Styela clava: one gene and its partner. The protein of the gene in region 2 purifies or fractionates together with the protein of the main gene of each other region. This does not show direct contact. Links are inferred from orthologs where the notes say so. Each region holds a gene or a part of one and is shown on either strand. Other genes may lie near its edges.

Region 1 (3,759 bases), on a different chromosome or scaffold from region 2:
TTGGCAATAAATCCTGTATGATATAAAAATAACATATAGCTTACTTATTCAATACAAATTGATTACATTTGTAGAAATTAAGAAAAACAGAAAACAAATCAGCTTTTTATAGAGTAATTGTAAATTAAGAGATGAACAGGAATGTATTCAATTTCACTAATCCAGGATAATTTAGGACGTTTTTGTTTGAAAAATGAGGATTAGGAGATATTTTTGTTTAAAAAATCATTATTTGGAGATTTTGACATCTTACAATCAGACAAAAATAGACTTCGATCTCTTCGTGTATATAATGATTAACAAGCTCCTTAATAAGGAACATGGCCCAATTTTACATATATTCTACATCCCATATTCTAAAACATTATTATCTAAATGGTGAATTATCCGTTAAGCTATGTTAAAAGATTTATGAGCCTTGCTCAACATTGTGACAAAATTTTTTCAAGTGTCACCTTCATTTTCTGCTTCCATTGCCATTGTTGCTTTATCAGTTTCAATATCAGCCAACAAATCACCTTCCTCTACTTTATCTCCTTCTTGCACTGCCCACCTGCATGCAAATGAGAAAAATTGTATTCGATTTTCTAATTTCCCAAATTTTACTGCATAGTTGTTCTCGTGACATTGTGACTTGAAGTGCTTCATCCAGGAATAGAATTTTACTACCTGGCTGTCAAATTCATTAAATCAAACATTATTTACAACAACCAGTCTACATGTTGATTGTATCAAATTAGTATTAACTTATCATTTAGCATTCTGGCTCAATTTTTATGAGAATACAACCTAAGAAATATCCTAAACAAGAAAGCCTAATAATTCAAAATGAAAATAATCTACTTGGCAATAGTTCCAGTGGTCATAGTTGGTGACAATGCTGGAAGTGAAATTCGTTCATGTCGAGGATAAGAGGTTGTTGACTGTGGTGATTGGGACGTAACTGGAGCTGTTGGACTAGCGGCTGGTGGTGCGGCACTACCTGAAGCTTGATCTATAAAAAAATATAATATCATTAAATAGTCATTCAAAAGTCACATGTTATCAATGAAATTGAAGTCAGTTCATTTCGAATTCATAATATCCAGTATACTACATTCACAAATACCAGAAGATTCCTTGCTACCACTGTCCTCCATAACAGCACAAAAATGAAAAGTCAAGAGCTGCTCAATAAACTAAAACCAAGTGCAATTTTATACTGTCGCGTTTGAATTCCATGAAAATTCGCTACAGGAAAAAACATTTTAATGCAGAAATTTTAGCAAAAACCAACGACAGAAATGAGTTTCGCTCACTGGCCGTCCCACACAATTGAATCATAATATTATTGAGGCAAAATAGCTCAATATTACACATCTATAGTAAGGTCAGATGTCCTTCTTTCCGGGCATTCTTGAAAACGGAGAACTGTGCCATACTTTGATTTTAAAGTCATTTAAAAAGGGGAACTGGATAAACTCAAGTGGATTCTGAGAAATCCAATCCACCAATATTCATCATGCATCTCCATCAATAAAAATATGAAATATTATCACATAGATACCTGGAGTAAAATCTTTGAACGCAGCTATATCCTCTTCATTATCAACTGATATTGCGATGAGAGTTCCGAGAGGTACTTCCTTTGTTCCCTCAGGCACCAATATCTTGGCAATATATCCTTCATCTTGCGCTTCAAATCCAACTGTTGCTTTATCAGTCTCTATTTCAGCAAGAAGATCTCCAGGTTCAAAATGATCACCTTCCTTTAGTACCCAACTTGCAATGGTACCCATTTCCATCGTCGGAGAAAGTGCAGGGAGATCAATTTTTGTGTATGATGGGAGTGAATAAAATCGAACATGACAAGTGAATGGAGAATAGTGCATGTTTGAAGTTCTCCACATGACATGGTTTTGTGTATGAAATCTGTTGGCATCTTGGATAGATTTATTAGCAATGTGCAAACTTCTTGTGCTCAGTAGACGACTGGTTATTATGTGATTGGATGGTTTATTGACGATGAAACGCAGTGAAGCCTTCACACATCTTGTGGTACTTGCACTGCGTAGCATGTTGAATGTTCCTTAAGTGAACTCCAAGTCTATGTAGTAAATTTAAAACATAACTGTATAAAAGATATTTGTGGATCATGAAAATTTTAACACCTGGTCAGATTACAACTACTGAACTGAACTAAATTAAAAATGAATAATATAGCCTAGTCATGCATGTGGATAGTACAACCTGAATCATAGCTTCTGAGCTTGGTGTAAAATCTCCAATACTGCCAATATCCAGTTAAGATGACTGCATTTGTCTACGAATTTCAATTTTAGAATTCAATGACTGAATGAGGTGCGCTGATATTGATATCTAATTTACTTGACACATCAGTCAGTGGTAGGGTTACCATATTTTTTTGACTTCAAAGCGGGACGCCTCCAAAAATACGACCCCTTAGCTGTGATCCTGTAACTGTACAGTTTTCGATTTTACTACATAGGCCTACATTTAAAGCTACCCTAACTGTCTTTGTTGACCATATTGTCATCGAGAGTTCATGCACATATTTTCTGTCTAAATATTGGGTTCAGTTCGAAAAATAGAAAGGAATAGACGCTAACGATACAAATGATCCGAATTTAGATTTTTTGTGTACAGCAAGAGGAATAAAGAATAATGACATAGTCTGCCGTTTTCAAGCATTAAGAATTTACTTATTCGCCCAACCATGCTTTTCTGTAGATAACACCTTCAAAAAGACGTTGTTCAAATTTACATTAACGTGAATGACCGAACAGGACCAATTAGAATTGATTTTACATGTGATACGTTCGCTAACAATTTTAGCGGCAAACAATGAAACAAACAAAATAACGCATTCACCTTCAGTAAGTACAGAAGTAAGCTAACGTTGCGCTAGACTACCGGTAGGTTTTCAAATTTCAAATCACATTGAAATCAAGTTAATGTCAACACACAGAGCTCCGGTTACTGCTTTTTGTCTTTTCACCTCTTATGTATGTATACGGTAATATCAGATAGTCTACTACCATACAATCACTACGGTACCGGTACTGCACTGGAGAAGCAACAAATACTAATTTGAAAAATGTAAATTGATTACATTCAACATTGGACTCTACACATACAGACATATTCGAAATCTTATTTAATCTCAACATATAAATTCGAGACCAGAGAGTACTGGAGTACCGGGTATTTTAAATCAATGAATCGAACGACAGAACGAGCTTACCCTTTTGTGAAACTAACTTCTGCTTCGTTGTTTTGTGTTGCGTTTTAGTCAGAGAAGAGAGTGACCTTACTATGGGAAAGCAAATACGAAGCACGCAGTAATATTCCGCGACATGGCGCAATGGAATCAAAAAAAAAACAAATGTGACCAATGTAAACTTTGAACTGTTTCAACACAGTCCCGAGAAACGCCAGTTCCTAATTCTGATATTTGAATCGCCACTGCGTATATCATTAATAATAGGCGCCTATAAATTAAGAACTGTAAACACTACGTGCTACAATCTCCTCGTCCATGAAAGGCCACTTATGATTAATCCTACCGCTGGTACCGGTACGAGCAAAAGATAATGCAGTGGACATTTGAGTTTTTTTCTTGGAATAGGTACCGGTATCATTCGTGATTGAATGGTTAATTAATTGTTATTCAAGATGTCTATTATAAAGCACAAGGGGAATGGAATTTTAGTAGACCATGGCAAGTTCACAAAAGAGATATATCGAGGTTGCAGAGCA
Region 2 (3,759 bases):
TGCTAATAACGTCATTCAATGAGTGAGTTTTCTAATTACCGCAAATGGCAATGTTTAATGTATTTGCATCAGGAATCTTTATGGTTATAATTTGTGGTATCCCCTTGAGAATGAATTTCTGACTTTATGAGAAGCTATGATATATGTTGGTGTTGTCTTCATTTTCCTATGTACATTATTTCATTCACTTTATTATTATGTTGAGATGCTTTATATTTGGCTTCCCAAAAACTTTAAAATTTCATTTTAAACAACTATTCTTAAGCGAAAGTAGTATTTAGAAAATTTGTGTATATTTATTAAATTCTGTCATATTATTGACCTGCTGAAAAACTTTTCTGAAATTGAGATATTTCTAATTATGTTGTGTGGTTCGTGATTCAATATAGATTGAATAGATATAGATACATTGTTTTGAGATCTTATTTGTTCACTGAAACGAAAGCAGAAATACATACTTATGTGTCGAATACTTGTTTGTTTACCCAGTTGTTCTTTTTTTATTATAACATTCTTCTTTTTGATTGTTTTCTTCTTGTTTTCTCTGGTTTATAAATGCAGCTACTTCGGCATTTTTTCCACATAAATATGCTCATACGAGTTTGAGTTCTCTGTAATTCATTTTCTTGTTGAATGTGCTGAATTTTGCCATTGTTCATCAAATCATGATATCGGCAAATTTTTGTGAGAAATTTATTATAAATCCTGATCTTTCTGAAAATGCAAAATTTCAACTGCATAACTTAGATTTGGATTTTCCAAAATATAAAAACATCTTTTCAATTGTCGATTGTTTTTTCAAATTTTGTAAACTTGTAATATTGGTCACTTTATTTTCATTTATAAATAGCCTGTTGTGGCAGAAAATTTTTCCACTTTTTGTATCTTATGCCCTATTTGTCAATTCATTGTGTAAAATGTGAAACTTGGAAAACTTTCCTATTGCTCTGAAGATATTTTTGAAGGCTGTATTGTACAAAATTGAATTAGTATTTACATTCAGTGGTGGCAAATTTGTGCCAGCGGCTGCTTTGATTTGATAGGTCCTGTGTTTTAACTTCACAAACTTCTTTCTGATATAAATGGCTAATTATAAATGACACAGATTTAATTATTTCTGCATTTGAATTGTCCTTTTTTGCAGATTTTTATGCTGTACTTATTTAGTAATCTAATTTATTGTTTATATTTAAGCCAAAATGTTCAATTTAAAACTGAATTCTGCATTAGCTCGTAGACTTTCGAAAGGTTCCTCACTTGGTTTCAATTGCTTGAATGCCAGGACAAATGCAACGGCCACTCATGATGCCGATTTGACAGTGATAGGATCTGGACCAGGCGGTTATGTCGCTGCTATCAAAGCTGCCCAGCTAGGAATGAAAACTGTTTGCGTAGAAAAGAGTCCAACCCTAGGTGGGACATGTTTGAATGTTGGGTGTATACCATCGAAAGCTCTTCTAAATAATTCTCATTTGTACCATCTTGCACATGGAAAAGATTTTGAATCCAGGGGGATTGAAGTTTCCAATGTTTCTGTTAATCTGGAAAAAATGATGGGACAAAAATCATCTGCTGTAAAGGGTCTCACCGATGGTGTTGCTGGATTATTCAAGTTCAATAAAGTTACGCATGTTCGTGGTCATGGTATGATTAAAAGTCCAACACAGGTGATAGCTACAAATGAAGAAGGAAATAGTGAAGTTATCAATACAAAAAATATATTAATTGCTACTGGCTCTGAAGTTACACCATTCCCCGGTATTGAAGTTGATGAAGAAAGGATTATTTCATCAACCGGTGCTCTAAGCTTGAAAGCGATTCCAAAAAGATTGATTCTTATTGGTGCTGGAGTAATCGGTGTTGAGCTAGGATCTGTCTGGTCAAGATTAGGTTCTGAAGTAACTGCGATAGAATTTCTTGGACATGTTGGGGGAATGGGTATCGACATGGATGTTTCGAAAACGTTTCAACGTACTTTAAAGAAACAAGGAATGAATTTTAAACTCAATACGAAAGTGATATCTGCTGATAAAACAGACTCTTGTATCAAAGTTAATGTTGAGGCTGCAGCCGGAGGTAAACCAGAAACATTAGAATGTGATGTTCTGCTTGTTTGTATCGGTCGTAGACCATATACACAGGGACTGGGATTAGAAAATGTTGGAATAACAGCAAACAAACAAGGAATCATCTCTGTTGATGAAAGGTTCCAAACAAGCTGTCCAGGTATATATGCCATCGGTGATTGCATTCCAGGTCCTATGCTTGCCCATAAGGCTGAGGATGAAGGTATTATATGTGTAGAAGGTTTAACTGGTGCACCAGTCCATATTGACTACAATTGTGTGCCTTCTGTTATTTATACTCACCCAGAAGTTGGATGGGTTGGCAAAACTGAAGAAGATTTAAAGGAGGCAAATATTCCTTACAAAGTTGGTAAATTTCCTTTCGCAGCTAATAGCCGAGCAAAGACAAATGCTGACACTGATGGATTTGTAAAAATTCTCAGTCACAAAGAGACCGACAGAATATTGGGAGCTCATATCATTGGTGGAGGTGCTGGCGAAATGATCAATGAAGCCGTTCTTGCGATGGAATATGGAGCTTCATCTGAAGATGTTGCAAGAGTTTGTCATGCTCATCCAACACTGTCGGAAGCTTTTAGAGAAGCGAACTTGGCTGCATATTTTGGCAAACCAATCAATTCATTTTAATGTCTATCTATTTGGAAATATTTTTGGCTTTATATAAATATTTAAATAATGCAATGAGTTCACTCTTACAAACAGGTTGAATATTTAATGATAAATACACAATGTAGGGTATGGGATAGGCAACAATATGGCTATGTAATAAATTGATTCAATTTATTCTTTGAGTCATTTATACTTTGTTTTCACCAGATATGGAATTATTAAGATGACTAATATGAAAACTTTGGTCTTTGTTTATGACAGCATTTCATTATTGCAACTGTGTATTATTCTCTAATGGGTATTGCCACGATGATATGAAATGATCCTCAAGTAATGAACGAACATTACAAAAAAAGGAGTTAGACTGCTGTTCTTCTCGCACACTTGTTTAAATTTCTCATTTGCAATTCTTTGTGCCCTGGACTTGTGCGAAAATATTTCTTTTGTTTTCATTCCACAATGTTATCAATCTTGCATATTGGTTAAATTTTTTCCGGGAATGGTTTTCATGCCCATTCTTGGCAAGATGCGAGATGCTGAATTAGTTTAAATCAAGAATTTCATATCTCTGTATCTGGCCAGGTAATAAAATAAATGCATATTGATGGTCTGTTATAAAGAGTTTCCATTTCCTCCAGTTTTTTGTCATCTTCAGTCTTTTCATTGCGATTCGAGAGTTATTTTTTCTTTATGTTAAAAATGCATATTATTCATAAATTTAGTGTTTTAGCTGTTTTAATTCAATAATTGTGAAGTCACCATGAATGCAAGTGCAACCATACACAATAATGGGAAAAGCAGTCGTGGGATCAGATGAAATATTTTGAAAAAATGTGTGAATATCCTAGTTTTGTATTTCCAACTCACACTCGTGGTTACAGTAAACACAATCAACAAGCATTTACAGATTATGGATGCTGGGAATCTGTGGACATTGATGTTGATGAGGTGGGTTGCGAAATGTTCAGTTTAAAAAACTACTTTTTTGTTTCATTAATTTTAGTTTTTTTACTTTTAGTGCCAGTTCTGTGAAGTAGATGTTATTTTAATTTTATAGCATTGA

What was found. The genes of interacting proteins can lie anywhere in the genome.
Region 1: the proteins of dihydrolipoyl dehydrogenase, mitochondrial-like (region 2) and dihydrolipoyllysine-residue acetyltransferase component of pyruvate dehydrogenase complex-like purify together in Homo sapiens (affinity purification with mass spectrometry; 4 studies listed by BioGRID and IntAct, counting the BioPlex papers as one, with this or other methods). This does not show direct contact. The link is inferred for Styela clava from reciprocal best matches to the Homo sapiens genes DLD and DLAT.

What each region holds. Positions count from the first base shown.
Region 1 is NC_135253.1:17,064,116-17,067,874, forward strand, and holds the start of dihydrolipoyllysine-residue acetyltransferase component of pyruvate dehydrogenase complex-like, read right to left. Parts: upstream 2,150-3,759; 5' UTR 2,058-2,149; coding exon 1,547-2,057; intron 995-1,546; coding exon 844-994; intron 554-843; coding exon 456-553; intron 14-455; coding exon 1-13. Other genes in the region: N(6)-adenine-specific methyltransferase METTL4-like, read left to right, coding at 3,676-3,759.
Region 2 is NC_135252.1:10,600,084-10,603,842, forward strand, and holds dihydrolipoyl dehydrogenase, mitochondrial-like, read left to right. Parts: upstream 1-1,195; 5' UTR 1,196-1,199; coding exon 1,200-2,714; 3' UTR 2,715-3,418; downstream 3,419-3,759. Other genes in the region: uncharacterized protein LOC120343183, read left to right, coding at 3,510-3,644. UniProt on the Homo sapiens protein: Lipoamide dehydrogenase is a component of the glycine cleavage system as well as an E3 component of three alpha-ketoacid dehydrogenase complexes (pyruvate-, alpha-ketoglutarate-, and branched-chain amino acid-dehydrogenase complex).